Linked DNA regions of Struthio camelus. The protein of the gene in region 1 purifies or fractionates together with the protein of each later gene. This does not show direct contact. Links are inferred from orthologs where the notes say so. Each region holds a gene or a part of one and is shown on either strand. Other genes may lie near its edges. The genes, in order: E2F6 and MGA.

What was found.
Region 2: the proteins of E2F6 (region 1) and MGA purify together in Homo sapiens (affinity purification with mass spectrometry; 3 studies listed by BioGRID and IntAct, counting the BioPlex papers as one, with this or other methods). This does not show direct contact. The link is inferred for Struthio camelus from reciprocal best matches to the Homo sapiens genes E2F6 and MGA.

Annotation. Positions count from the first base shown.
Region 1 is NC_090944.1:23,560,269-23,575,897, forward strand, and holds the start of E2F6 (transcription factor E2F6), read left to right. Parts: upstream 1-7,133; 5' UTR 7,134-7,460; coding exon 7,461-7,517; intron 7,518-10,761; coding exon 10,762-10,810; intron 10,811-12,339; coding exon 12,340-12,556; intron 12,557-12,887; coding exon 12,888-13,046; intron 13,047-14,007; coding exon 14,008-14,122; intron 14,123-14,815; coding exon 14,816-14,963; intron 14,964-15,629. UniProt on the Homo sapiens protein: Inhibitor of E2F-dependent transcription. Binds DNA cooperatively with DP proteins through the E2 recognition site, 5'-TTTC[CG]CGC-3'. Has a preference for the 5'-TTTCCCGC-3' E2F recognition site.
Region 2 is NC_090946.1:41,711,994-41,728,179, forward strand, and holds the start of MGA (MAX gene-associated protein), read left to right. Parts: upstream 1-7,836; 5' UTR 7,837-8,066; intron 8,067-16,186. UniProt on the Homo sapiens protein: Functions as a dual-specificity transcription factor, regulating the expression of both MAX-network and T-box family target genes. Functions as a repressor or an activator.

The DNA.
Region 1 (15,629 bases):
GAGAGGCTCTCTTTTGTGTGCGCATGTGTGCGTATGGAGGTCTAAGTGCCAGCAACTGGAGTTAGGCTGCGGGCCAGAGGGCCTGTGTGTCTGGGGTGCCAGCAACTGGAATGAGTGCGGGTTTGTAAGTCAGTGTGTGATCGCTAGCAAATACCAAGCTGGACTAGCTGCCAAATAGGTTCGGTGACTTGGGAGCCAGGTGTGTGTGTGTGTCTCTGAGAGTGAGGCACTGGAGGAGTTGGCTGCCTGAGGGACCAGAGGGGCCAGTCCAACTCTCAAAGAGACCATGAGGTCTGGGGTCAACTGAGAGACCCATTTATTTGTGGTGTGTGTGTGTGTGTGTCTGGGTGTGTGTCTGAGTGTGAGGCATCTGGGGAGAATTTGGGACCACCTACGGTATGGACTGTGCATCTAAGCTCAGTTATTGGAGAGATCCACCGTGTGTGTGTGTGTGTGTGTGTGTGTGTGTGTGCGCGCGCGCGCGCGTGTGTGCGTGTGTGTGCGTGTGTGTGTGTCTGTGCCTGTGTCCCTCTAAGTAGGGAGGTCTGTACCAGCCACTGGAGTGGGGCTTTGGGCCTCAGGGGATCGTATGTCCAGTTGCCAGCAAGTGGATCAAACAGCAGCTACCAGGTGCACTGAGCGTCTAAGCCCAGCTACTGGAGGGATACGCACCATATACAGGTATGAATTTCTCACTACCTGACCTTCATTCCAATCAGCCTGAGAGGGGAACAAGATGAGGCCATAGGTATTGTCTGTGTTTGTCTGAGTACTGAGTGTGTCTGCCTGTATTGTTCTGTGTGGCCTGTCCTTTGTATTTTTGTAGCTGTATATAGTGTGTATTTGTATATCTGTATATTGTATATGTGTGTTTGCTTGTGTGTCTACTAGGAATATATGCTTAGCTTTGCTAGTGGTTGGACCTGTGGACTAGAGTTGCAGCAGCCTTGTTTCCACTGAGCTACTAGATTTTACAGCTCCCTGACAATAAAAATATTAAATGAAAGTATCTCTCCATCAACCTTGTTTTCATTGTGTTTAAAATAACATAAAAATTGCAATAGGGCAACCCTCACCTAAAGCAAAAAAATAACTTCAAATAGCTAGAAAACTTGTTAAGATATTTTCAGCATAAGATACACAGAAGCCATCTTATGAGGACATGCTTCAACTTTTCCATACATTTAAAGCTGACAAAATGAAATACATCATGCACTTTTGAAACTCTTCTGGCTAATAAATAAAAATAAACATAATTCTTATTACTCATTTTTCAAAATCAAATGATGACTCATCATAGCATTCTGCTGCATTACATATTAGTTAGATACCTAGATTGAAACCACATATCCATTACAATTTTTCATTAATTCATAAACAGAGGTGTCTCCACAAGTTAATATTAAGCTTATGAATTGCATATAACAATCTCTACTCAAAGTTCAAACTGTTTGATTTTAGCAACAGTTTTAGTTACAGTTTTAGTTTAAACTAAACAGTTTTAGTTTAACCACTCCCTTGAAGAGAATCAAGCAGAAAATACATTATTTACCTCTCAACTATATAGCAAGAAGCAGCTATCAGAAGCTTTTTGGTATTTCCATTGTTTTATGCACTGGAAGTTGCACTAGGCCTGTCCAGAGGACTCAAACTGGTTTTGCATTCAAAAGAAAAGCAAATACCATATTGGCAATTCCCAAAGTTTTATCAGAGGTATCATTTTTACTATGGAGGATTCTTGAAAATCAAAACTACGTGAATCCTTTTAAAATTGTTGTCAAGTGTTCTGTATTAATTAGCATGGAATACTCTTTAAAATACTTCCGCTGTTTTATCAATAGCCACTTAATCATCTTTTATATTCTAGAATTACCTTTATGTCACAAGATAGTGCCGCATATCTTCTGCGTAAACTTCAGTAACTTGCAGGCGATCTTTGCTGCCTTGATTAACTCTCATAATTTCATTCCTCTACTCGTTTTAGAAAATGCAAATCCTCTTCTTTCTGGGAGATATATTTTTAGAGGTAACTACTGGACAGTAATTTTGAACATTACCATAACAATAACCATCACGGTCATATCTAACACAGAAGTATACCCTGTCAAACTAAATATGAACAATAATCATACGTACAATATTTGATCTCTAACAGCAAAGAGGCTAAGGGAAACGAAGCATCTTTAAAGAGAGGGAAATCAGATTTGAACACTCAAAAGTTCTCCACAGTATTTCTCTCAGCTTTTTGTAATGAAGGAATTGAAAATCTCCACTCCTCTTTGGTATCAGAGAGCCTTCTACCTCAATTCTTCTCATCTAGGTTTATCAATTCTTCTTTCATGCTCAATGCCTGAAGCAGGCCAGGAGTTCTGAAGCACTCCTTCAATAACAAATACAATAAAGCCCACTTGCAACAGAAGACTTCTGTTTATAAACTGCTTAGCATGAAAATCACAGAATCACACAGAATCACAGAATGCTTGAGGTTGGAAGGGACCTCCGGAGATCATCTAGTCCAACCGCCCTGCTCAAGCAGCGTCCTCTAGAGCATATTGCCCAGGATCACATCCAGGCAGGTTTTGAATATCTCCAGCGAAGGAGACTCCGCAACTCTCTGGGCAACCTGGCCAGTGCTCACTCACCCGCACAGGAAAGAACTTTTTCCTCACGTTCAGATGGAACTTCCTGTGCTTCAGTTTCTGCCCATTGCCTCTTGTCCCATTGCTGGGCACCACGGAGAAGAGTCTGGCCCCATCCTCTCGACACCCTCCCTTCAGATACTCATACACATTGATGAGATGTCCTCTCGGTCTTCTCTTCCCCAGGCTGAACAGGCCCAGCTCTCGCAGCCTTTCTTCAGAGGAGAGATGCTCCAGTCCCCTAGTCATCTTTGCAGCCCTCCGCTGGACTCTCTCGAGTAGTGCCATGTCTCTCTTGTACTGGGGGGCCCAGAACTGGACACAGTACTCCAGACGAGGCCTCACCAGGGCTGAGCAGAGGGGCAGGATCACCTCCCTCGACCTGCTGGCAACACTTTGCCTAATGCAGCCCAGGATACCTCCAGCAAGTTCTGGTTAAGACCTCTGCCTAGAAACTCTCAGGTTCTTCCAGATGGGAGATGGCTTGCAGCCAAGTTTCAAAACCCTACTAAACACACAACATTCACTGAACCTTTTTAATAACATACAACAGTGTTCATATGCGGCAAGCACTTGCTCTTTCCTTAACCCTAATGACCTCCTCAGGGTACTTTTTCCATCTATTTAATTTCTTATCTGGGTTACAGGTACAAAAAGTAGACGGCTTAGGTTAATAGCATGTCCTAAAAAGGTTTATCTTGCCACAGATACCTATATCTATGTCTATGACATACCATGTCACAGATATCTATGCCTTTTAATTTTATTTCAGGTGTACAATGCAGGACATCACAAAAAAAAAAAAAGAATGCTGCTTAGCGCTGCTCTGTAAAAGATTTGATGCAATTTTCCCCATACTCATCTGACAAATGAAAGAAATTGACTTGATTTCTTAAATTAATGGGTGAGTATTCACCATCTATGCAGAAGCAATTTTTCTACCCAGATTAAGATAAGCAAATAATGTTTCACATCTTTATGCCTAATCATTATGCAGTGGTGAAGACCTTTAATAGGATTTCAGGAAGGCTAAGAAGCTTACATAAACAGGCATAATAATATACCAAAATATACATTTTAAACAAATACTTACAGCCATTTCTGTTTTCCATGATTTTTCAGTTTTGCGTCTTTGCAGGAAAATATTTCCCTGCTCATCTTTGCAACAGTACATACGAACCTCCTGGAAGATTCACTTACAAGTTTATTATCACTAAATAGAAGACTGTATTTAATACAGGATCTCTCTTAAGTGTGTATAGTTTCTTACAGAATAAGGCCTTGGTTTTAATTGTAGTATTGTACAAATTCTATACATATAAATAAAATAAATACATACTAAATGAGGATATAAACATATCTGTCAGGTGATATTTAGGATTATGCATACAGGCTAATAAATACTAACATGAAACTAGTGTAATAAACAATAAAAGACTAATGGGAAAGCAATGACATTCAAAACAAATTTTAAATCATTAGAGTGGGAATATAAAATATACAAAAAATTCCATTTTGTATGAAACCTAAACCATGCAGCACAAGCTTCACCATTAAAAATTTTATATAAAACAATCTAATTTCAGCTGCTCAAAATGGAAGTACAACACTTGCAGGAGAAGCACATATAAAATAGAACATTCATTTTATTAACCTCAATGGAATTAAATTACAGTAGTGAATTTTTTTAAGCAAATCATATTTTAACTTTTATATATAGCACTTTACAAATTTAGTGGAACCACTGTTCTAATATATACTAATTTTAACAAATCAGACTTAGGAAATGGAATTACCGCCCCCTGGTGGCAGATCAAAAATCAATTCAAAGTGGTAAACAACTTCAAACTGACAACCAAGCAAATCTTTCACTTTAAGAATCGTGTCCAGTACGGTTAATGCCTGGAAATATCACAAAAAGCTAAAGAGCTATTTTCGTATGCAATAAGATAACAGTAAGTGGAGTATAATTTACATTTTCATATGCTAGTGCATTAACCAAAGAATTAATGTGGAAGAGATTTCATTATCAGTTTTATTAAAAATAAATAGTAATGCACTAGAATTAAACCCTTTGATCAACAAAATGCCATAGCTGAAATTCCTGACAGTTCAGTTTCTTCAAAACCTAATTTTCATTTAAAATAAGAATCAGAATTTACACTTTTCACGTGAATGTCAAAAAATTTTCCTGAATCTGAATCAGTGTAGGACTTTTCTTTGCTCAGTTACTTATTTCCACAAGCCCATTGATAGAGGCACAGGAACAACAGAATTTTATCTTATGAGCAGCTAGAAAAACAGTACAGTGTTCTTTTCTAAAAGATGTAAATGTTGACACAATGTTTTTCACATGGGTTAAAATGGAAATGCATGTGTCCTAATCCTCAAATTATAGTACTTAGTCTTCCTCCCAGAGTCTGTCTATCCAATAATCATCAAAATTATACGTAAAGATTTTTATGCTACATGGCACATCCATTACGTAACCCCAAAATAAAGTGGTTCAAGACATCTATTCCAAACCATTTTGCTGTTCCAGATGGAAAAAATTGCTTTATCACAGTGGGTTTATACGACCTGTGACAATAAATGTAACATATGTCTTCCAGTCAAGAATACAAAGAGGGAGACATTTTGATTCCTTGTGGGAATATAGATTTATCACCTTGAAGTAGTCAGCAAGAATTATCATGTTCATAAAAAATGAATATGAATCAGGAATGTCATGCAAGTGTTTTATCTCACCGTGATGTGTTGTTGCTTCCATGGAGAACCTTTTGCATTTGCATTAGTCCCAGCTCTCCTGAGAATACAAACAAGCACCATCCGCATCTTCAGATCTACAACTCAAGTCTTCATGTCTCCTGATACACAAAAATCATAGTTTTGAGGAGTTAAAACATACTTTTTTTTCCTGTTTTTTTTTTTTGTTATAAACTGATTAGAACATGAGAACAACATACCTCAGTTCTGTATGTCTCTACAGGGACAATTATTGTTACGCAAATCATCGACTAGAAATCAGTTGCTACACAGAAAATCCCATCCTGTATCAAGAGATCTGATGTATCATCAGTGGCGCCAAATGCTACTCCAAAGGAATATCTAACCTGCAAGGATAAGAAACAGCTAGTAAATGGAAATGGATTCAATATTTTGTCAAGATAATAGAATGTTAGTTGACCTATCCCATCAGATGCATTGGAAAATGAATCAAGTCCTTCATGCCTTAGACTTCCTCATAGTAGACTAGCAGTTTCACAAAACGTCCAGTGAAATTCACATTTCTACAGAGCACCTGCTTTGAGGGTGTGGAAGGTGGGGGGGACTTTAATTTTCACCAAAAGTTGTAGAGCAGGGAAGCAAAATAATTCAGAATGTTTTCACGTAAAAGAACTCTATGACAGAGCATCTATTGTACCATATGGTAGAGGCCGTTAACTGGCATAAACAGCAATCAATCAACACACGGTTTAACGGACAAAAAGAGTTACATGTTTTACAGAAATGTTTTCATCTGACAAACAGGAGCTAGCTACTAAGCGATGCAGACAAATGAGCAAGGAAACAGTCAGTGCCTGACAAAGGATATCAGAAGTATGGAAGGAAGCACGGAAACTGCCAGTGAATTGGGTATTTGGGAAAAGATTTGAGAACTCCTGTTGAGAGGGAAACGTGCAGGCTTAGTTGAGGCAGCTGCATTTGTTGGCTCCTCTCTGGCCCTTGAGGAACGTACTCAGCTCTTCCCCCACTAACGACTTGTAATTAGTGATTCTCAGTAGGGTCATGGGATCCTGATCTCCTATGGCCGCCTGCTCCTGGCCGGTCAGGACAGGAATGCATTATTTGGCAAGAAGCAATAGTAATTATTTCCACTTGTCTTCAAAGGTGCCTGGGCAGGGCACTTTCTCCTGGCTTACATTGCACATGGAGGGAACGCAAGGATCCTGCTTTCAAATAACTGAGGTAGTGAAAACTCCTGTTTTAATCCACTTTAGACCACTGGGGTGGTGAAGGGAGTTCTCCTTGCCACCCACAGCCCACTGGAAAGACACGGGGGGAGGCGGGAGAGCAAATCTTTTTTTTAATACTGCTTCGGGGTGGGGAAAGGGGGCAACAGCGCAGGGAGCACCAATCTGGGCGATACTCGAAGAAGCCTCCTTCCCCTCGGCGCTCAGAGGAGACATCTCCCCGGCGCTCCCGCAGGCGTGAGCCAGGCAATCGCCGCCGAGCTGAGAGAGAAAGGCGCCGGCGGCGGCCACCCTCCCCCCACCGCGACCAACGGCCGTTGAGGCCCCGGCGGGCGGGAAAGGCGGCGTGGGCGGGGCCGCTGCGGGACCTCGCCGCAGAGGCTCGTGGGTAAGGGAAGTCGTCGCTCGCCGCCCTTTTGGCGGTGGGGGGGAGGGAGGTTTGTCGTCGTCACCTGTCGCGCGCCGCGCTCGCGCCCGTCTCCGCTGAGCGGGCTGAGGCGGCGCGCGCGGGCCGAGGTGGGGTGGGGAGGGGGGGGCAGCCGAGCGCGCGCGCGCGCGCGGCCGCCGGGGCCCTCTCTCCCGCCCAACGGTCCGCTGGCGGCGGTGGGGGAGGGGAGGTGCGGCCGTAACGGGCTGCGGCGAGGCCGGGAGGTCCCTCTACCACCCCTCTGTCCCCTCCTCCCTGAGGCGGGGTGGGGATGGCGGCGCCTTCTTCCGACATGGACTCGCAGCCGCCTCGCCGAGGCCCCTGAGCGCCCTCCCACCGCCGCCTGCCCGCCGGGCGGGAGAGGCCTGCCTCAGCGCTAGGCCGCGGCCGGCCTGAGGAAGGAGGAGGGGCCGGACGAACATGGCCACCCCCGCCAAGTGGGAGCGTCTGAGGCCGCTGCAGCCGGACACGCTGCGTGTGAGTGAGGGACACGGCGGGCGGGCGGGGAAGGGAGGTACTGCCGGCGGATGGGGCTAGGGCGGGACGGCCCTGCAACGCTGTGCTCCCGCCACTGAGCGATTTAAGGCGATCCGGGAAAGTCTTTCCTCTCACCTGTCTGGCAAGATATCCCTGAGCGGGGAAGATGTGGTGTGCCTGGCCTGAGAAGTACACAGAAGCATAGTGATGCTTCCCTCCCTCATGGCTTTTTAGCAGGCTGCCTGGGAGAGGAGGCTGTCATAACGTTAGTGAGTGCAAAGCAATGTCTTTCCTAGCTGCGCTAACTATAACCTGTTAGTCGAGTTAACTAGGTTGTAGATGTGTTTGAAAAATCAGTTGCAGGGTGGTGCTTTATTTTACTCTTATATGAACGTCTGTGAAGTTCAGGTAATCTACTTTTCTGTGGTATCTGGCATTACTTTTAGTAATGTTACGAGGTAGCTAATTAAAAATAGGTTTACTTTTAATTCTGTGTCACTTTCTTTAAGAAATGCTTGGTTTTATTAACTTCAGCTATTGGGCTAAATGTTATTTGGTAGCATTGCCTTCCTGCTATGAAAAGGTTTCCCTGAATTTTTTCCATCAGTAGTTGAAAATTTCTTACTACTAGAGATGGTGATTTTTAGAGACAAAGGGTGTAGGGCACAACATAATGCCGCGTGATGGATCAGCCAACCAGAGGTGCTGTCTTGAATCTGCCTCTCATCAACAAGGAAGTCAAGAGTGTGGTAACCATTAGCAGCCTTGACTGCAGGGGCCACTGAATAGTGGCGTTCAAGATGCTAAGTGTAGTGAGGACGACAAGTAGCTGAGCGCGGATGCTGGACTTCAGGAAAGCAGACTCCAGCTTATTCAGGGAACTGGTAACTGAGATTTTTTTTTGGAAGGTGACTTTGTAGGGTAGAGGAGCTCAAGACCTGGGAGTTCTGGTAAGCACACCTTCACTCAAGCATGGGAATGTATCCAGGAATGTACCATCCAGATACACAGGAAAACAAGATGTGTGGAGGCATGGCTATGCCTGAGCTTGGGGTAGGGGGATCTGCAGGTGGTGGAAGTGAAGTCAAGCTACAGAGGAGAATTGTCTGGACATGTAGGCATGATGTAAGGAAAGCTGTAGCTCGGTTAGTGTTGAAACTGCCAACGGATGTCAAGGGTGACAAAGAACTTTTACCTTAGCAGTAAAAGAATAAACAGGAAAACGTGGATCTGCTGTTGAATGGGGCAAGTGATTTAGGGACAGCAGACACAGATGAGGTTGAAGTACTCGGCCTTCTTGTTTGGGTCTTCAGAAGCGAGGTTCTGTAGGCTCTTGTATCTAAGGATAGGGCTCAAGGAGAAGAGGAACTACCAGTAGTGGCAAAGTATCAAGTCTGGGATTTCTTGAGAAATCTCAGCCCCTACAAGTCTCAACAGGACCTGACGGGATGCTTCCAGAGGGATCTGAGAGAGCTGACTGATATCATTGTGAGGCTGATCTCTGTCATTTTCAAGAGGTTGTGGAGATCAGGTGCAGGTTGGTCAGCCACACTTCAGTCTCTCAAAAACCATGGAGCGAGTTCTCTTGGAAGGCATTTCTTAGGAACGTGAAGGAGAAGGTGGTGACTGGGATTAGCCAGCATGACTATTCTTGCATGACCAAACTGATTATCTTTTTTGATGAAATGACTAGCTCTGTAGATGCAAAGTATTGGATATCATCTGCATTGACTTTAGCAGCACTTTTGAAATAGTATCCCACAGCATCCTTGTCTTCAAGCTGGAAAGTTACAGATGGTCAGCTGCATCTATCCTGTATCTTTATGGGTGATCTGTAGGAGGGCGTGGGATGTGCTCTTGCCAAGTTTATGGATGACACCAAATGAGAAGGGGAAAGTGCCATAGACCCCTAGGCACAAACTGGAGGAATGGTTCAACAGGAGCCTTATGGAATTTCATAAGGAAGTTGACAATTCAATTCAGACTAGAAATCCGGCCACCTGACCCTATAGCCCCCAGTGGTACACACTGGGAATTGAGTGGCTGGGGAACAGCTCTCCTGAAAGGACCTAGGCATCCTCGTGGACAGTAAGCTAAATGTGAGCCAGCAGTATGCCTGGTAGTGATGAAGCCCTGTGGGACTGTAGCAGCAGGAGCATAGCTAACAAATCAGAAGAAGTGATTATTTTTCACAGAATCACAGAATGGTTGAGGTTGTGAGGTTGTGAGGTTGTGTCTTCTTTATCTGGCGCTTGTTAAAGTACTCTTGGATTACTCTGTCACACTTTAAGAACTCTAGTACAGAAAGGATGTTGATAAACTTGAGTGCTACCAGCAGAGATCCACCAAAAGCGGTCTGGAGATTAGTGTACATGAGCTATGAGGGAAGCTGAAGGAGCTGGGCTTTTTAAGCCATAGCAGTGTTCCAGTACTTACTAGGAGGTTATTGAGAAGATGGAGCCAGGCAGTTAACAGTAGTCCATGATGGAAGGATGAAGGAACCTCTCTCGCCTCTCTTCTTTCATTTCATGCCTTTTTTCCAACTTGATATAAGGAGAAATGTTTCACTATGAAGAGACACAAGCAGTGGAAGAAGTTGCCCGGAGAGGTGCAGCCTCTATCCTTGGGGGCTTTCAAGATCCAGCTGAATAAAGCCCCGAGTAAGCTGGTCTGATATCATAGCTGTTCCTGCTTTGAGCAGGAGGTTGGACAAGAGACCTCCTGAGGACTCTTCCAGCTGGAATGAGTCTATGAATTTGAAACTATTCATTTTGTTTGAACTGGAGAGGGAGAAAGGAAGAAAGTAGTTGGGATCATCATGTCAGTTTCAAGACCAGAGCAGACTGCTCGTCTGGAAGTCTAGTACAAAATAACTGTGATGCTGTGTAATATCTGGGTATCTTTTGTATGTGAACTGTTACAGGGAGTGTCTGAAACTGGTGTTTATAGAGTGTATAAAGCTACTGCTTTGTATTGGAACCATTGCCTAAGCGTTGGGGAGTTTTGGTGGCATTTCCTGCTTTCCAATACAGAGGAAAATGTGTTGAGATTAAAGCTTGAAAATTCTGACAGGAATTAATAAGCAAGTACCTCTTCTATCCAGTGAGATTCCCTCACAGTAATACCTGCTGAGTTGTCAGTGCTGTGATCCCTGTAGCATCTACAGCTGAGGTGGGGTTTCACGTGGAGAAGCTTCCTATGTAGATGAAATCTCGTAACGTCAGTTATCCTTTTAATTCTGCAGCCACCAGTGATCAACCTGAATGTGGAAGATGAGGTACAGTTTGTAAGAAGTAAGTTTCTGCATTCCATATGTAAAGATTATCCGTGAAGTATATTACTCTTTTTTACAATGTCGAGTAGGTGTTGTAAACAAGTGTTGTGTGTCTAGTAAAGACAGAACAGAAGGAATGCTGCACACTCGGTGAAATAGCAAACACAATGCAACACATTCTTTGTTTTCCTCTTTTCGTTCCATCTGCTGCAATTATACCTCCCCACTCCTATAATGAAAGTGAGGTTATGGAAAAAATGAGTTAGAGAAAACTGGAACATAATGCTGGAAAAGTTTGCATTTCAACTGGCATTAACAAATGTAAATACAAGCTTTAGTGAATTTTTGTGTCCTTTTTTTTTTTCCTCACTAGTTGTACGTTTTCTTACAGTAATAGAGTCCAGAACTGATTAGCAAGTTGTTGAATCTGTCACCTCATATTAAAGTGTCCACAAGCTTGCAGCAGTGGAATGGATATGATATACCATGAGTAAAAGTGCACATTGCATTCATCCTGGGAAAAATGTTGAAGATTATAAAGTAGAATGTGCTTCCCAGGGGAATTTCCTTACATGCGTGCACGCACAGATGCGCACACTCCCTTGAGGCATTAAACAGGAATGTTCAGTGATGCGTTTTGATCAGATAAGAAATATGTGGTTTCTTTGCAGAAGAAGACACAAGTAACAGCGGCGTTTGACGGTCTTTCATTGACTCTTGCGTCAGAACCCCTTGACTAGTGCATAGACATCAAGTCTTTTTGGTGCTTTAAAACAAAGGAGTACTCAGGCATATATAAGTATGTAACAATCTAAAACTAACCAAGCTGTTCATCAGTAGCTCTTCTGCTGTTTCTGAGAATATGCTGATACTGGGAAGATGCAGCACAGGGGTCTCTCTTAAACATGTGGTGTTATGGTATCTGTAGATCTTCATCTCTATTAGTAAACTCAGTAATGACATCAACAGCTCTTTAGGTCTGAGGCCAAATAGTACAACCTATGTTTGTCCATATATTAAGTTCTTATACTCCAGAACAGATTGGTCACATTCAGATAGAAATAGTCCCTAAAACCAGGCTAACTCTTGAATTGTGAAATTATTTGGGAGACTGCTGGTTGACCTGGGCCAAAGGGATATGAAGAACTGTTTTAACAGTCTAACAGAGCAAATATTAGAGTTTCAGTTCTTGGGCAGGGCCCAGGCACTATCTAATGTACTAACTTACAGTTGACCTATGTTTTTACTAGTATTCACTTAGTAGTTTGAGTCTACATAGCGCAGTGAACGTATGGTAACATAACTATTAATATCCATGTTAGCATGAACTTTGAAAGCGTGAAGATGCATGATTGCTTTTTAGATACAATTACTGCAGACCAATAAAGGTGCATTTGGTTAACAGACTTTATATGATGCCATCTCAATGTCAGTGTTTTAAATGATTGTAGTGTTTCAAGATTTTTATCTTCAGTGCTGTTGTTTGTTTAAAAACTACTTAATATTGTTGTAGTAGTTTATACTAAATATTGCGTCAAACCTTTACAGAGACTCTGAAAGTCACAAAGCCTCGATTCGATGCCTCCCTGGTTTATTTGACCCGAAAGTTCATGGATCTTGTCAAAACAGCTCCACATGGCGTCCTTGATTTAAACGAGGTAGCAAGAACTCTTGGAGTACGGAAACGAAGAGTGTATGACATCACCAATGTGTTGGATGGAATCCACTTAATTCAGAAAAGATCTAAGAACCTTATCCAGTGGGTGTGAGTTGGCTTTGAAACTTCTAGTTTTGGAAACAATAAAAACCAACAGTACTAAGTAATGTTTTTAGCTTGGAGCTCAGAGTATTTTTAAGCATATTTAATTACTTTGGATAAATGAAGCTGTCTTAAATTCTATTGCATCCTTAGACTGTCTGAATTACATACTATATTAATAATTATCAAGTAGGAGAAAAAAAGCAACAATGAAATGTATTTCAGCAGAGCAAAGGATGCCAGAATTCCTTATTGGTTCTTATTAGTACGTTTTCTGTATTCAATAAACAAGCTCTTACTTATATAAACCTACTAGACAACTTTCATATTCTTTTAGAGGTTCTGATCTTGATCAAGTTGTTGGAAAGGCACCAGAGCAGCAAAAGCTTAGAGATGAACTTTCTGACTTGTCAGCCATGGAAGAAGCCCTGGATGAATTAATCAAGGATTGTGCTCATCAGTTATTTGAACTAACAGATGACAAAGAAAATGCAAAATATCCTTTTAACTCTTACATCACTTTATCTATCACATGATTTTGATCACTAGTGCTCAGGTATCTGGTAATAGGTGTAGGCAGACACCACAGTTAGGCAGTAATACTTGACTATGTATTTTATGATAGGGAACTTTCTGGGTTCCTTATATTAGTGTGTATTAGACATGTGCCCTCTTTTGCAGAATCATATGCAGTCAAGTACCTTCCCAGGGAAGTGCTACTTGAATGACTTTTCCACTGCAGAAGTTTGAGAAGAGGTGAAGTAAAAAGAACTGGAGTTGGACTATTTTATTCTTCTTTTCCTTTGGCACTTTGCAATGTAAAGGAAAGAAGAGTGTATCAGTGGCAGAGAGGGTAAGGAAGAGGATTATATTGAGATAAGGAGTCGTTTGGAACAGTAATGAAGAGGAAAGAGTTAAAATGGAGATGAAGCAATAGTCTCAGTCAGTACCTTGACCATGTTCTTGTTCTCTCCATTATAGAATAATATCTCGGGGAGAGACTTTGCCTACCAGTGAGATTGAGTTGATTAGTTAGATGAGAGAGAGGACCTAAAACAGAGTCCCAGTGACCTGTCAACAACAACATTGAATGGTATGGTGGTTGTTCTGTCTGTTGTGAAAGATTCCAGTGTAGTTTTATCTTAAAGGGGGTCCTTGATAAGAGAAAGGGGATTTCCTTTTTTAAATTTTAATTTGATATAAACATTGTTGAGTGGGTTTTTTTTCAATATTGAATATCTCAATCTTTTTAAATTTTGTTTCCCCCTTCTTAAATAAAGAGAAGGGCTGTTCTCCTGTCAGCTACTGCCTAACATTACAAAGTCTAATGTTAAAGCAACCTCAACCGAACTATTTACTGCTTTTCTTAAGTAGGTCTTTTGCTTCAACATAAGTTAACATCATACTCTTTGCTTCTGCCCATTAACAAATTTACAGAATCCTTGACCAATGTATACACTAGCTTATGTGACATACCAAGATATCCATAGCATTCAGGCATTTCAAGAACAGATTGTTATTGCGATCAAAGCTCCGGAAGAAACGAAATTGGAAGTACCAGCTCCTAAAGAAGTAAGTTTTATACGTTTCTCTCTTAAAGGAACAAAAACACTGGAATCTGACCTTGCAACAGCAGTCAGTAATTGACTTCTAGCAATCAATAATTGGCTTCTAGCAATCAGTAATTGACTTCCACTTTATTTGTCATGTATAGCAAATAGTGGTACTTCCATTTTTCTAGTGTTGCACTAAAAAATGCAATAGGTAGAAGAGTCTAAGCAACTTTTTAGACTATGGGGATTTTTGTTTACCTATGTTATTAAACAATAAACATGTCTGAGCTTTAGTTATTACTTTGGTTTTGCTAGAGATAAATAACACTTATTATAGCTGCTCCATTATTTCCAGTATCAGAGTATGTTTGATAATTATGTGGATAATGAAACTTCCAACATGTTGTTAACGTTTGTATACTAAATTGTATATGCAACTATAAATCTAACCAAACAAGATAATAAAATAAGCATAATTTGTTAATGATGTAGCAGCAAATAAATATTTTCTTATTGCTTAATGAATGTAAATTTGTTGTCACTGAAATATTGAATTAGGACACACATAATACTGTAGCCAAAATCAAAAAGTTTTGGCACTTTGGTGGATTATGTCAAAATAGATTTTCCATGGAGGTGTGGACGTATCAAAACTAGATAGCTTATTTGTAAGATTTATTCTTTTGTTTATATGCAAGTCATTGTTTTATAGGATAGCATAGAAGTACATATAAAAAGCACAAAAGGACCCATTGACGTGTATCTGTGTGAGGTGGAACAAGATAAGCCAGGTGCCAAAACTTTTGAAGATATGGATACTGTGTCTTCTGAAGCAAAGCCGACAGTACCTCCTGATGAAGGTAACGTCCGCCATTTACGTATTTATCCCTGTGTAATTTTTTAAAATGCTTGTGATATTTAAAAGTATGTATCAAGACATTGTGATAAAGTTGAAAACGGTGCAAGTATAATTTTTTAGGCATGGTTTAGGTGGTTTAAGCTGTGTGGGAGTATAGGAAATGCCTGAAATGGAAGTCTGTGGTGCTACATTATCTCACAAGAGCAGCAGACCAAGGGGTTAGGCACATGTATCCATAGCAAGCCACTCTTGTTCCCTGACCCCTTTCCTTCCCCTGCTGGTTACTAGTTTCCTGTTAGAGCTGACTGTTCTGTTGCACTCTGCTGATGGAACAGTGTGCAGGTTCTCAGCTGCTTCAGTGCAGAGTCCAGCAGTTAGATACTAGCTGTCATGAGAGCTAAGATGCTGTTTCATGTAAGAGGGTGTGCTGCTTTCACTCATTAACTGTCCTGCCTGAAGAGGGGGAGACAGTGTTTTAAGCTCCTGAAACATGATTGGCTGGAATTTTGTCTGCTAGAGCCCCAGTGTTGCAGGATATTGTGTTTTAAAAATAAACATAGCAGGAATTACAGTAGCTCAGAACACAAAAGGTGATTTATTTTTAGTAATACGACTTTATAGTTGAGGGGAAGAGTTGGCTTTTTGATTTTGTGGTTCTTTTTTGTTT
Region 2 (16,186 bases), on another chromosome or scaffold:
ATGATGCCATCACAAGACTGGCAAGAGTTCAAAATCGTGCTTTACAGCTTGCCTGTTTCTAGACCAAATTTTATTGGCAGGAGAAATCTGTGACTGTAGAAAATCTGCACTTGTCTCTGTTCCAAAGAGACTCTAAACTTTCATTAGAAAAATTAATTGATTTTTTTTTTCTCAGTAAACATCCTACAAATGGTCTGGGCAACAGAGCGTCACTGACAGTGAACTTTGCAAATAAAGAAAAAGATGTCCGTAGCTCAACGTTAGGGAGAACGTGGGTAAAATCTTAAAGAAGACAAGACTTTATAGTCTTCCCATGCATTAGCAGGGTGAGGTGTTTCCCCGATACCTGCTTTTAACCCGGACCTGTTAGCGCAGCTGGAAGCAAGGTGCTGCCCTGCCTTCAGCAGGTGTTGCGGAAGGGCAGGACCTACCTTGTCCTTGGCGCAGGTGCGCCCGCAGATAAGGTTTGCCATCGGTTTTCTTCCTGCTTGAACTTCTGGTTGCAGAGAGGATGTTGGAAACAGCAGCTGAACTTGCTGCACCAACTTTTGTGCTGTGACCCCCTCTGTGAGTATGCAAAGAAGCCCTAGGCCAGCGGGAAGTTGCCAAAGTTTCACTCTGAGGATGTTTGGGATGAAATTCTGTTCTGGTAACCCAGGGCTGGCTGCGGAGGGCCAAGCCAGGCAGCGGGGTCGGAGGGTGCAGGGCAAGAGCTGGGAAAGCTCAGAGGGGGCAGTGAGGGGTGACGAGCCCATCCGGGACATCTCTGCAGCATAAGATTTCTGTCTCTTATGAATGGCTGTCTGCCCTCATATAACAGAGGTTGGAGAGGCTCTAGAGATGAGGCCGAGAGCAGACTTTGCCCTGGTTTTCAAAATCCTTCACGTTTCATTATTTACTTTCCTCGAAAGTGGGCCTATAAATACAGTTAAATGTGGGCTTTTCGGATGTCTGAAGACATTCATTTAATGATCTGCAGATCTATATGTGATTTATATGTGGTCCTCCACAGTTAGCCAGTGGGTTATTTTTCCCCTGCGGATTTCCCCTTCCTGGCTGTTTGTCCATGAAAGCCTATTCTGCATGTAATCTGAACACCTCCCCTCGGTCGCGCTTTCCTTTCTTCTGCTGCCACAGCTCTGCCACTTTGGCGGTGTCACGCGGAGAGCTGCGGATCCTGCCCTCCGTGGGCCAGACCCAGCGCCAACGGCAGTCCCTGGCAGGGCTCCCAGGGCCTTCGGTGGGCTTTCGCTTGGCCCCGCGAGCCTTTCCATCCAGCAGGAAGCCGCACGTGCCTGGCTGGCACCCGTGCTTTGGCGACCGCTCACAGACCTTTCCCGGGATGCCCCAGTGGGTCTGGGGCGGTTTCCCGCGGGCCGGCCCGACGCAGCAGCCTCGCTGTCCTGCCGGCCTCACGGCGCTGCTCTGCTTAACGCGCTTGCCTGAGAGCACTGCATAGTAATCCTGCTTATGTTTCCAAATATATTTTTTAACACACTTCAGTTGTCAGTAAGGAACAATTTGATCATTTCTCTCTCTGTCATAACTGATAGAGAGAGAAAATTCTAGTCTCTGACTCCGCATGGTTTGAAAGCAGGGAGATATTCCTGGCCACACTTTTACTTCTCCTTAGTTATACTTGTCGACTTCTGCAAAACTATGGGAAGTAGCTCAAATTGGAATTTGGCCCCAAACTAGTCATTTTGCTTTGCGTTCACATTTGGTGCGTAAAAACTGAAGAGGTTTCTAGATGTGCAGTTGGTGGGTTCCTCTGTGCGGCCACCAGGGAAACAGGCTTGGAAGGGAAGCAGAAATGCCTTCTGCAAGCGCCAGCTTTCAGGCTGTGCACTGTTTGTTGGTTATTTACTTCCTCGGTTGTTTAAGCGGTTCTGTGATGTGGTTATGTTGTTTATCGGCAGCATCTCTGGGGAGGTTGTTTCACGTATTTCTTTGTTTTTTGGTGGTTGCGTTGTCTGTGCCATATCACAATGTCTCTGGAGGCATTTCAAGGAAATACGTAGCATGCTGAATAACGCTAGCTTTAAGTGGACGCCCTGGAGAACATCTGTATTAGTTTCCTCTGGCAGCAGGTTGCTTCAGGTAATAAAATTGCCCGTCCTGCTGCTTCATGTTGCCAGTGCCAGGCTCCTGGAGCCATGCCGGGTGCCGCTGTGGAGGAAGGCGAGGAGGGCGAGAGCAGGCGGCTGCCGCTGCTGCCTAAAGCCCCACATGGTTTAGGGCTCCAAAAGCTGTTTTGCATGACGATATTGCAGCATGAAAATTACTGGCTTCCCACATCTGAGAAACCATCAACAATTCCTATTTCCATGGAAATAATTCTAGGAAGCGACGAGCGGCTTTGGCACATGCAGAAAGGGCAGCCAGGGGCGTTTAGACAAGGTACCTCAGAAGCGGCAGCTCCTCGTGCACGGACGCTCGCCCACGCCGGCAAGCCGCTTCACAACCAGTGCTTGCAGCGGGATCTCCAGGGCAGCTCCTCGCTCCTGCGGGTGAAAAGCAAACGGCAGCGCAGGGGCCCGCGGCGGCGTCCCGGCGGTGCCCCCCTCGCGGGGCGGCTCCGCGCGTGGAGGACCAAGGCAGCGGCACGGCGAGGGGGACCGGCCCCGGGCCGTGCCGGAGGCCACCAGCGGCTGCCGGTACCCAGTGGCACGCAAAGTCTGCCTCTGCCTGCGCCGGGGGCCGAGGAAGGGACCCCCATCGCCGCCGGCATCCAAGGTCCCCCAGGCCGGAGCGGGGAAGGAGGAGGGAGACAAGCCCCAGGCGAGGGGGCAGCAGGCGCCTTCCCGCAACCAGCACGGCCGAGCTCGCCTGCAGCTCCTCCTCGGCTGCCGCAGCTCCCTAACCGAATATTTCAGGAAAGGTTTATTGCCCCCCACCCCCGCCTCTCCGCCGCTCCGGTTTATTAAAAGGTCTCCGATTTATTCTGTTGCGATAAGGATCTGCCCTCAGGGAATTGCGCCTGCAAGGAAGCATAATCCCTTTTTTTTTTTTTTTTTGCAGCACTGCATTGCTGGAGGAAGGCTTAACCCCTCGCTCTCAGAGTCACCCGTTACTTAACGAAGGAGCAGCACGAGGCCGTGTTTCCTGGCCCGCGCTGGCCGCTCAGGCAGGAAACGGTCTCTTTGGCCGCCCTGCCTTCAAAACGGAGGAGCAAAGGTACGGGGCTTGGCCGGGCTTGTTGCAGCTGGGGACTACGAACCTCCAGCGAATAAAGCAACCGGGAGAAGCGGCGGCGCGGTGCTGGGACGGCTGCTCGCCGGTCCCTGGGGGAGCCATCCTCTCCGGGCAGGAGCTGGCCCGCAGCGAAACCTCCCACCACAGGCGCGTCCCCAGGACGCTTCTGCCTTAAAGAAGCACCCGGCCGGGGGCCGAGCGGCGCGGCGAGGCGCTGCAGCCAGAAACTCGCCTCGTCCGAGCGCCGCAGCGCGGCTCCCCTCTGCCTTGTTGGCCCCGCGGAAGAGGCTGAAAGGCTGCCCCGTTTCGGCTCTTCCTTCTCGGGGCTGGGCAGGGCAGGGGCCGACGGACGCGGGCGCCTGGGAGAGGGGCTGCCGGGGGGAGCCGGCTGGGGACAAGTGAGCTGCCGGCAGGCTGCACTAAGCCCATGAAAGGAAAACGGCAACAAAGCTAGCGACAGGCCTTTCAGGGCGCCCGCCGCTTTTCGTTGCGGAATAACTGAAGAAGATCTGGAGAGGACTTCTTCCTGCCCTTGCCGTTCGGGTCTCAGCATCGGATCCCCGGCCTCAAGCTCTGGAAATAACTGCCTTTCCCTGCTGTACAGCCCCTGAGCTGCCTTTGCAGCTCCAGCGCTAGGCGTGCGGGGGCAACGTTCAGGCTTCGGGCGTGATGACGCTGCACAGCGGCAGTGGCTCCACGTGTAACCAAGACAACTGATCTTTCTCACAACTTTGCCCAATGAAAATAACATTAGGGGACTCTTAGAGAGGGACCCCCCCCCCCCATCTGTGAACCCTTCCTTCCTCCCATATCGTCAGATAAAGAAGCCCCTGCTGGGGATGCAAAATCAGCCCTAGAAAGGGAGTAAATGCCAGCTTTACAATTGTCTCCCATGTGCGTAATGCTGATTTCATGAAATATTCACACATTATTTTCTTCATATGAGCCTGACTCATGCAGTGCCCAGGAAGTTGCATCCTTAATTCTGACATTTTGTAGTCTTTCAGTGATTGACTTAAGAATTCAAATAACATACTTCAAGCATAGAAGGGGTGCTTGCTGTTAAATGCAATTATTGTTGTTCAAATGTAATTATTTTTACCTTATGACTAATTATAAATGGATGTTATTAATGGAAGAACAAAATGTGTTTATCAGGGTTTGAATTCTGCAGTCACTGGGAATAAACACACCAGGTAATGAATTTGGCAATAAAAGGCCAGCCTTAAGCGTAGACCAGATTTAGCACCTCCCTTTCTCATTGTATCATACTTCCTTCCTCCCACTAGTTCAGCCCACTCAAAACCTGTATAATTTCTTCCTATAAAAGGACATGCCTGTTTCTGCTCAGTTCTCTGAAGCATATGCCTTTATTTCCTAACTATGTTCCTCCGTGGGAACTCTCATGATGGGTTTATAGGGAGGGGTCAGAACGGGAGAGCTGAAGAGGTTCCAGTTTGGTGCAGAGCGAGTGGAGGGCGCGAGGTGAAGGAACAAATGCGTCTGCGAACAGGAGAGCAAGCGGAGAGAAACGGGATAATGAGTGGGTGCCTCTGGAGGAAGTAGTGATGGGAAAAAGCAGCACGTGCCCTGGGCAAACAGATCCATAGAAGAACAGGTACTGCTCTTCCCCAGTTTCCCCTTTTACAGATGTACTCAGGAAGGAAAGGAGTGGGAAAGGAGGAACACTCTTTTTCTCACCTATTCAGCTCCCTGATTCTCTCGCTAACTCTGCTGTCCCAACACTTAGCTTTCAAAAAAAGTCTGATTCGCCAACAAACAGAAGATAGTTTGTAGGCAACAAAAAGCGGAATGAGCAGCAATTTTTCTGCAAAACGTCACCACGTAGTTTGGTCATCTCTGCTTTAAATTGCATCTACCTTTTCAAAATGAAGATTTCCAAATCTGAATGGCGCAGGAAATTTTTCAGCAGAGCAATCCTAAGCTCTGGCTTCCTCTGATGAAGGAGGCTTTCTGTGCTTGGAGACCAAAACAACGCTTTTTTTTCCAGCCATACTGCATTCTTGGCTCATTTCTATGACATTCACAAACACCATAAGATTTCCTTCAAAACTCCTACATTCAAAATGTCTTTTTTCTCTGAAATAAATATCAATGATCTATTTCCCCTGCACGTATTATCTTTCGCTTGTCCATATCCCAGCATTTTTGGCTGCCTTTGTTTTTCTTCTTTGGTCTTTTTTGTATTTGCAACATCATTAAATTTAACGTCAAATTACAAATTTAATTTGCTTGCTGCTTTCTCTGTTTTTCCTGTTAACTAAAATGCATCTTACATCTAGGAATTGGGCATCGCATCTCTTGTTACAGTAGTAATAATTTCAAAGAAATAGTTGAAACTTGGTGGTTCCTTGACCTGCTCATGAACTCCAAATATACAGGACCTAACACCACCAGTGCTTTCTAATCTAGCTCCTAATGCTAACCTAACCCAAATGACTCCAAACGTTGATTATAAAATTGCAAAGACTCCACAAAGGTTTAGCTTATACTTGAATACATTTGTAAACTGTTTAAAAGGATTCCTCAACAAATAGTTCCCTAATAGGACAGAGAAGATACTTGCAAGCATCTCAGTGACCTAGCAACCAACCCCTCCATTCTCCTGAAATTCAAGTATAAACTAATGTTGACTAGAAAGGAAATTGAAAGGCCAGATTTTGCAAAAGTGTAAATGTATGCCTAACTAGATACTTCCCTTTTTACGTTTCTGGTTGGTCTCCTAAGTCGTATTGGCACAAATTCTCAGCAGTATTACGGTACCCAAGGAATGGTGATTCCTACGGTGACTAGGGACCTTTCAAAGCCTTGGCCTTCATCCCAGAAACGTTAGTCTAGGGCTGCAGACGCTCCTGCAGAACACATTGCAGTGCCTTTTATCACACCTTTTGTTTACAGTTTAAATTAGCTTTTGTTACATGTGACCTGCCTATAACCAAGTCAATCTGAAATGATTTTGCAAGATTTTGCAAGATGTTTAACTTTTTTTCATTAACGTATAGTTACCGTACTTTTTGTTCATTTCAGTTTTATTTACAATTGTCATCAAGTTCATCCAGTACTATCTATCTTTATGTACTGATGCGGCTTATAGCTCACGCTTTCTTCTCTGCTAAATGTTTACTTTTTTTTTTTTAACATTTGTTCCACTATTTCGCTATGGACTGAATATACATTTCCTAGATGGTAACTTCCAGAATCACTTTTTTTTCACCTACAAAAAATACAGGTGTTCTGTTTAGAGGTATTATTGAATACCTCCCACACTGAAGGTCATACAGCCTTTATTTGCTAAACTCTTTCAGCTTATGAATAACCACAGGCAACTTTGTGTTAACTCCGTAGTGAGCGCGAGTACAGTTCTACTCAACAAGCAAGCCTCACTGCAGCAGTCCTCTTGAAGCAATGAGGTTGTGCCTGAGAGACGCTGAAGAGGTACAAAAGTGTTTAGTCACGTGCAACGGCGTTTCACTTTGGGCAGTGGCTTTTTAAGTCAGCTTGATGTATGGCTGTTACTCCATCACGACCGACACATTATACCTTGGTGCAAATGAGTGCGTTTGTCTGGCCTTCGCAAATACCACAGAAAGTAAGAAAGAACAGCGGGCTGCGTATGTAAAGCCTGTTCCCCCCAGACGTTCATGCGGTTAGAGAAGGGTCCTACGCAGGCGTTTTACAGATTCGGTAACCGAGTTATCACAGCCAAGTCAGCGCGGCACGGATGACAGAATTCAGGGAAGACGCTGAGCCCTGCTAGGGGGAACCTTTAAGAGCGGCTTTGGAAACGTGCCTCCCCCAGTTTCGCCCCTTAAAATAAGCCTTAAAACACGAGTCGCACGGCGCAGCGGCAGCCGGCCCTGAAGACCCGAGAAGCGATGCTCGCTGCCTCGGCAGCTGCCCCTGTAGATGACAAAAAAGCCTCGCTAAAACACGAGGAACGTGCCCAGCGGCCGCGCTCGTCGATGCAGGACCGACCACGGCTTTTTCGGGCCGCTGCCGGACGCAGCAGCGAGGCTGAAGCCCTGCGACGGGGCTCGCCGCTGCCCCCCTGCCCGCTCCCCACCCACCCCGGCCGGCCGCTCCCCCGGCGCCCCTCGGCCGACCAGCGGCCCCCGGCGGCGGGCCCCGGGCGCGACGGGGCCGGCGGCGGCGGCGGCGGCGGCGGCGGCGGGGGGGGGGAAGGGGGAGGGGGCGCCGCCGCAGAGGCCGCAGCCCCCGCGCGCGGCCCGGCGCCGCAGGCAGCGGAGCGGGGCCGGGCCGGACCGGCGGGGCGGGGAAGGGAGGGGCGGGGGCGCCCCGGGGGCGGGGGCCGCTGCTCGCCGCCGCCGCGCCGCCGCGCCCCGCGGGACCGGCGCCCGGCAGCCAACGGCGATCGCGCGCCCGTGCGGCCCACGCGCGAGCGGCGTGTTTCCCTCGCGCAAGGGCGGGGGAGGGGCAGGAAGGGCGTGGCCTAGGCGGAGGGAGCGGAAGTGCGTCGGCGGGCGGCCCCAGCCAATCGGGAGGGCGCCGCTGGCGGGCGTCGCGAGGCAGCTTTGCCCCGGCCGCCACCGCCGCCGCCGCCTGCGCCCCCGCGAGCGCCGCGCACTGAACGCCGCCCGCCGGTACCGGCCGTGCGGGGGCGGCACCGCCGCGCGGCGAGCCGGAGGACGGGGGCGGGGGAGGCAGAGGAGGAGGAGGAGGAAAAAAAAAAAAAAAACCCGGGAGCGGCCCACGTGATGGGCTGTTGCAGCCAATGAAGACGGCAGGAGGTTGCGCGTGGCAGGCGAAGGCCTCCGGAGCTGCGAGCGGGGCGCGTGGGCTGGGGTGTTGCTGGGCGCCCGGCGCCGCGTGGAGCCGGCGGCGGGAGGCAGGTAGGAGTTGGCGGCCGCCTCGGGGCCTTGCCCGCGCGCTCCTGTCCCCTCCCCCCCCCCAGTTTTGAAGTTTTATTCGAGGAGGTGGCGTGAGGTGTGCGCGTCACGTGACCGCGGCGGCCCAATCACACGTGCGCTCTCCGTGCCTCTACGGCCCAGGGGGGCCGCGTTTGAGGCGAGGGGGCCGCGGGCGGGGGTGGCGCTGGGCTGCGGGTGCCCCTCTCTGTCCTCCCGGGCCCCCCCCCCCCGCCGTTTCCTCCGGGGTCGCGGCCGCGGGAGCGCGCGGGTGGGCAACTGGGGGGGGGGGTAAGTGCAGGCGGTCACGTGACGCGGGTCGGTTGGGGGGGGAGGGGGTTAAAGGGGCCGAGCAGCCTCGCGGCTCCGCATCCGGGTGCTGCGGCCCGGAGGGGCCGGGCCGGGCCGGGCCGGGCCGGGCTCCCGCGTCCCGGAGCCATCGCGCTCTCCGGGACCGTCCTCCGACGGAGGCGTGGCTGGTGCGAGCCGTGAGACGGGGTTGGGTTCCCCGCGCCTCGCCCTGCAGGCGGCTCCGTGCCGCCCAGGAGCCCTTTCCCCGGGAGCCGCGCGGGGAAGGAGGAGCAGGGCGGGGGCCTGCCCCAGTGCCTTGGGACGTCCACGCCCCCCTTCCCCCCCCCCCCCCCGCCCCGGCGCCGCTGGGGGCGGGCGGCGGGGCGGGGGGGGGAGGGAGAAGCGGGCGGCCGCAGGGCCCCGCGCCCTCCCTCGCCGTCCCTCCGCCGCGCGCGCTGGAGGCGGGGCGTAACGGCTCGAGGGAGGCGGCCGGCCCGCGGCGGCGCGCGTGCGCCTCGGCACGTCGCGTGAGGCTGCCGGGCGGCCGTTGGGGCCGCGCGGGGGCAGGGGCCGAGCCCGCGCCTCCGCCCCGCCGCCGCCGCTCCCCGCCAGCCCGTGTTTACGCGGCGTCTGGCTCCGTCGCTCCGCGCGCCGCCCGTTATTCTGGTAGTTTCCTGCCTTCCCCTAGTGGAGGTTGAACGCCGCGGAGCCGAGGCCGAGCTAACGTGGCTCCAGAGCCGGCTTCATGTGGCGGGTTTGCGCGTTCAGGGCTGTGGAGCCCGCCGGGGACTGTCACCGCCAGGCCCTGCAGGGCGTTCCCACGGAGGGCCGCCTCATAAATAAACAACAGCGCTTCCTTTGAGCGGTGGTGCACTGCAAGGATTGGGTTCTTCAGTTCTTGGTGGGTTTAGGTGCTAAGGTAGTTAACGGGAAGTTCGACAGGGAACTAAAAGCTGGGAAAGTAACCTTAAGTAGCAATTGGAAGGATAAGGCTTAGCAGGTGTTTCTTCAGCCTGGTAAGAAGAGTGGCTTCCAGCGATGTGGCTTGAGGTTTTTTTGCCTAGTTTCTTAAGACATCAAAGCTTATGCAGTCATGCTATCTTACTGCTCACGCACAACTTCTAAACTTGTGGGTTATCTTTAACCATGCTGGAGAGAGTGAGCCAAAGCGCTGAAGACTTGAAGTTGCTACAGACTTTGAAAACTGAAGTTTGCATAAAGAAGAGGCAAGGTGTGAATTAACTGTACAAAATGGCAATACCAATTCAAGGTGATCTGCCCTGCACAGCCACTCACTGTGATGCTGCAGTATCCTTCCAGTGCCTGCAAGCACAGTTGTTTGTGTGTCTGTACTGAGAATCAGAATGAGGAATTGATTCTGCTAGAAAATGTTTATATGGGTAGTGGTTTTTTTTTTTTAAATGTATGTGTGGGGGAAAAAACCATAGTTTTCAGTTCCAATTGAGATGGGCAGAATTCATTCACAGTGTAGTCCATCTAGCAGTAACTGGCCTTTAGTCATGCGTGCTGGTTGTCTGCTCAGTGTTGGTGCATGTGTTATAGTGTGAGTCATGGGAGGCAAACACACACTGGAGGGAAACCACTGTTAGTTTACTTATGAAGGCACTTATTTGATCACCTACTAGAAAAGAAATTCTTTCTGTTGTAGCTTTTGCTACCTTTTTATTTTAAAAGTGATTTAGTCAATTTGAATGTATGTGGTGGTGTTTGTTGGCTTTTTTTTTTTTTTTTTTTTGCCCAGTTTCCTAAGGGATTGGAAATACAATCCCTTCTTTCTCACAAACCCAGTGAAAAAAGATCTCCACCTAGAGGAATGGGAAAGAGCTCTTGCCTAAGAACAGGCTGTTGTCAGGTTGCTGCTTCATAAACAGCAGAAGATCTACTCAAATTCCGCCATGATACGCAATTAGAAAACAGTTCCATTGGCTGTGATAACAGCAAAGCTTACTTGATGTCTTGTTCTTCCACAATTAGGGATGATATTATTTACTATTTTTTACTGGGTGACTGAAGAACCAAGAGTCTAATGATGGTGGAGTTGCTCTTCTCTTTCCCCAGTAATATGGAGTACCCCTTTCATTGTTGCGTTTTGGCTGGTTTTAGTACCTACGATAAATCCTTGATATGCCTCTTTCTGAACTGGATAAGGAAGAATGATGTAAAAATGATATGGGTGAGAAGGTCTGTCACGAGACGAAGGTAGTCAGAAAAAATGAAGCCCAAACCAGAAAGGCAGTAAGGGACATTAACAGTACAGAAGACAGAAAATGAATGTGGGAGCCAGATAAAATACATCTACAGAAAAAGTATTTGTGTTCATTGCTACAGTCACTATCACCAGAAAAAGCCAATTGGGAAATGGCAAGACTATCACCTAATTACAGTTAAGCAAATACTTGTGATGATGGAATGATGTGCTGTTTTGCTAACTCTTGCAATACAGTGCATTTTGCTAGTATGGTGTGGTCTGCCTGACCACAGGGTAAGTCAGTAATGAAGATCGATGGAGATGGGTTCCAGATTTTAAATCTACCTAGTGCTTTAACTGGTGTTACTCTCCTTTTTACCATGGTCTAAAAGGGGCACAGAGATCTTGCTGGCAGCTATGACTTGATGGACTAGAGCTATAGGTGACTATGTAGGTATGATTGTTGCTATAAAACAGTAACTTTGTGTCCTGAGCTCAGATGAGGTCTTTTTTACTTTCTTGTCTTGTTTTGCCCAGCTTTCTTGTTTGTACCTTCATTTTTTTCTATGCTGTGGACAACACTTTCATCTGAAGATTCATGTACATTGTACAAGTTCTTCATGGTGGCTGTAAAAGGAGTGAAACTCATGAAATTTGTGTTATTCTTCTTGGTTGTGGCTTGCTTTTGCCAGTGTTGTATGGCAGAAAGCACAAAAGTTTGCTGTATGCTTTTATTTTATAACTTTTGGCTTTTGAAGTAATATATTGAAAAAATGTAGCAAGCTTGCATTGAGTGCTTGAGTAGTGGGCATATCAATGACTTGCTGATAGAATATGGGAAGCAATATGCAAAAATGTATTTAAAATGCCTAAATAGTAACATATCGTAGTTACCGATATAGTTTAAAAAAAAAAAAAAAGGTGATTATTTAGAGTGAAAACTGACTTTTCTGCCCTCCACCAAGTGATTCATACTTTATGTAAATAAATTGTATATTTCTATTCTTCAGTCTTCAGTGCTTGGAAAGATCTCTGTATTCCCCCCAAAAGTTTAGGTGACTCCTGGGGGATAGAGAACGACTGCATACTGTACATTGCAGGATCAATGCTATTAAGCAAAATAACTTTATTGGAGGACTGGAAGTTTTGACTCATGTAGGAAAATATTAGCACCGGAGAGCTGAAGCAGGTATTCCTCTTCCCCCCACAAAGTGCTTACCCTGTTCTGCAATAGAAACTGCTGCTCTTGCAAGGATGCGGCTGACAGTTTATGAAGCAGTTCCTGAACTGCTGCTACTTCATCCTAGAATACTCAGGGCCTCAAGTGTTAAGAAGTGAATTTGGACTTAGTATAAACTAGTGCTCTGGGTTGAAAACTGATGCCTTAGAAACTGTCATGCTTGCTGTGGGGATAGTAAGTTCTGTGTGGGGCTGGAGTGGGCAGCTGAGCCGGAGTCAGCTGCTGTTCAGAATGACCTACAAGTTACGTATTTTGGCACATCTGCATCAGCAAGAAAAGCTAGTTTTGGAAAAACTAATTTTTTTGCAAGTTAGTTTCTTACAATAAAATGGCTTTTTTATGTCAGACTTTTTGGCTAGATTCTGTCATCACTTACACCTTAATACTCTTCTTGACATCAGACTATACTTAATTAGTATAACCAAGGGAAGAACTTGCACTACTTTTATATTGTAAATAAAATATTGTAAACTTTTTAGTAGATTTAGACTGGGATTCTGCTACCCAAGCTTAGGAGTCCAGTGCCATTTTAGTGCTCTAGGTTATTTAAGACATCTGTGAACAGCAGACAAATTCAGCTCTAGAAGGCTGATGTTCTTCTGGAGTAGCAGTTGGAGACCAGTTGGATGACTAGTGATGTAGAAAATGGAATGATACGCCTTTGTTCAGGCAGCTTAATCCAACTCATAGTTTCAGAATTAACAGATTTCTTGTGGTGTGCTACTGTGCTAATGATTCTCCGAAGTGGCTAAAGAAAGGTGGTGTTTTTTTTGGTTACTCTTTTTCTAGTTTTAACTTTACACAACATATTTGACTGTGTTTGTTATTTTTAGCTAGTGAGTTTGTGAACTGAAAGCTTCCTCTATACTCCAGTAGTACTCCAGGAGTAATGCCTCTCAAGGTATACCATCTGACAGAAGTGTCCTGTTGTAGCTCTACTTGGTAGTAGAGATCTTTTTTTTTTCAAACCAAAAAGGAGATTGCTAACTAAAAATACAATCTCCACCTCTTTCATGTTCTCCACAGGTTTTCAGCTATGTCTGCAACATATGTTGCTCTTCCACATAGAGATTTTCAGCAAAGCCTGGGCCTTGTGACCCTCCAGCTGATGATCTGTTACTGACTCTCTTTTTTGAGGTAGGTTAGAAATACCAGTTTTTGAAGGACTCGGCTTTTTTCTAGAACTCTAACTAGCAACTTTGTGGACTATTGGTTGACGCCTAAGTTGCAGGCGGCAACTTTCTTGTACTGTGTAGGCTTAGAATTTGCACTTTTTGCTTGCAGGCACTACTGAAGGAAGGAATTACGATTTGCTAGATACCACTGGGAAATACAATTTGTAGAGACTGTAGGTCATGCTTTCAGGGTGCTGCAAAGCAGGGAGTATGTCTGAAAGGAGCATTTAGGGGGAAGAGGGAATACTTTTAGGTAGTAAACTTCAGAGTTTCAAAAACAACCATCACTTCACTAGTTACTGTAGGGTAGCTCCACTGATCATGGAGGGTAATATTCAGTTGGTATGAAACAGTTCATTTCTGTACTACCCAATGATGTTTAGCACAAACAAGGCTATCAGTGCAAACTGATATTTGTACAGATTAAATTGGAATGTAGCTCTTTAGTGGGTGTGTGTGTTTTTTTTTTTTTTTTTTGCTATGAACTGCTCAGAACTATAGAAAAATGTCAATTGGGAGGAACCTCAGCAAGTCATTGTCAAACTTCCTCAAAGCAAGACTGCCTTCAAAGTTAAATGAGACTGCTCTGGCTTCTACTGGTGAAGCTGTTCTGTTGATAAACTAGAGGTTCCACTTCTGTGCAGGCAAGGTTTTCTACTTGATTTAGGCCAAACAGTAGCAAAAACCTTGGCAATGTCTACTGCCTGGTGTTGCTTCTCCATTATCATTGGAACATGTAGCTCGTGGGCCACAAGCATGTCACTTTCTGCTATTTGATTTTGCTCAGCTGCCCTTGGTGGTACTAATAGCTGCCTTCTGGGGGAGGAAAAAAAAAAGGAAGAAAAAAAAAAAAGACATCCAGAAGTAAGAAACCTGAAAATTAGAAGAACTTTATTTTTGGAGAAAATAGGACAGCACAGAGAACATACCAAGGAAAGAGCAAACTTGAGAGCGAACAAAAAATGTTTCAGATATGCTTGCAGGATTCCTAGTAATTGACTAGGAATCCTTTGACTAGGATTACAGTACCTAGTCAAAGTGAACTAAAAAGTTACAGGTTGAATTATAATAGAGTTATAACTAAACTGGAATTTTTTTATAACTAAACTGGAATGCTTTCTTGGTTCCTTTCTTCCTCTTGCTTTCGTATAGCAAATGGGAAGTAGTTGGTTGTTATCCACTGCATACTAGGTAAGAAAGAGCTTTTCTTGTGCTGAGGTATTTTAGAAACTTGTGAGAGAGAATGGCCATGTGAAGGTATTTCAAAGACTATCTGAATGTGACCCATAACAAAAAGAATAACATCTCTCTGATATTCATATTTCCTCCCCTCTTAACTCCTCACTTCTGTCCCCACTTCCAAATGTGATGTTATACATGTTTGTGGTGCCTCTCCCCCCTGCACTTCCCCGGGACGATATCAAGTATATGAGGCTAAAGCCTTCCTGTCATCTCTATAAACTGCTAAAAGTACCACAATCACAATCTGATATGTTCTTTCATACTTGGAGAATTTTGTATTTAAGCAGCTTCTCTGTTCAGTGAGTGGGTTTAATCTTCAGTTTTTCCAGCCTGAGTCCATTCTTCTAGTTAAAAGGGAAAATAGTCCATGATTTTCTGCTACAAGCATACCTATGTCTGTAAGTTTTTCAACAATATACCTATGTTACTGTTTTGATGCATATTTTTCAAGAGTCTGAAAAACTTTTTTTTTTTTTTTTTAACTTAAGTGCTTTTGGGATGATCTCCCATAGCATAAATTTCTGATGCCAGTAAACCTTCAAAGGAGTGCTGGCCTTTGTAATACTGCTGGTTTTGACAATTTTCTGCTTTGTAACAGCAAAGACACAACTGTGCTGGTTAAACAGAGGAGCAGCCTTAATGAAGTTACGGTTCATCGTAGAGTGTAATCAGTACAAAATTCTGGTGTGCTGAGGACTCTGGAGTTTGTTCATTTCAATGCCTTGATTTTTTGGCACCAGTGTGTGAACATCTCTCCTTTGACCGTGGATGTAGTATTGTAAAATAAATAACCCTAACAGAAAGAGGGGGTAATCCAATTGGTATTTACCTGCAACCATACTGCATTTTGACATGAATTTCATTAGTATTCCCAGTTCTGTGTTACTGGGCCTATTCTCAGAAGCACCTGATTTAGAAAATGTAATAGTAATTCCTTTAACATGTGTAAGCGACCCCCGTTGTAGGGGATGGCTTGGAACAGTGTTTGTGTAGATGCCGAGTACAGGAAAACTGTAAGACCTAGGCTATGTTAAGCCAAGTTTTGTTTTTTATCTAGTTTGCCTAACCTCCATGGCATGATGGTCCTTCTTCAGCACTCGGGTAACTTAGGGCATGGTTTTGACAAGTTTATATTAGTTGTCTGAAGGTCATGTGGCACTTGTTAAGCTGTGGTGTTGTAGGGTCAAATTCTGACTCGTGCATTAGACTATTCTGTGGAACCTTGTGCAGAGCACTGGAGACTGATGCTGTTCCCTGCAGCGAGTGCAGTGTAGCCATGCTCAAGTTGCAAGTCTTGGGCTTTTGTCTTGTCCAAGTCACTTGGACTTGTGTCTTCTGTGCAGAAAAGAAAATTTGTGTTTTCTGAAAAAAACAAGCAAATAGAGACGCAGCCTCTGCCGCGGAGATGGCCACGCAAATGCTTTTCCTAGGTCTTGGGTCCGTCCGGGCGGGGGGGGGGGGTAGTGTCCGTTAACGCTTCCTGAGGGCCGTTGCGCGCAGGCTGCGGGGGAGCCCAGGGCTTCCTGGGTCTGCGGGAGGAGCCGGCCGGGGCCGGGGCCGGGCCGGGCCGGGAGCGGGGCGCGCCGGGGCTGCCCAGCCCGGGCGGGCGCTCCGTGCGCAGCGCGGGCGCGGAGCGCATCCTCCCGGCGCCGCTGCACGGCCGTCGCGTGTCGGCGCGGGCCGCGTCCCTGGCCGTGAGGGGCGGCGCGGCCGGGCCTCTCCCCGCCGGGGGGAGCAGTGCGAGCGGGCGCCTCGCCCGGTCCCGTTGCGCGGCAGGGGGCGGGGCCGCGGCGCTGCTGCTCGGAGCCCCGCGGGGCTTCGAAGGCGGCGGCGGCCGCCGGCCGTTTGCGCCGCCGCGGTACGCTCGGTGCGGCGCAGCACCGCGGCCGCGCCCGTTCGAGAAGCTTCTCCGCGCGCGGCCGGCGCGGCGCGGCGCCGGGCGGCCGGG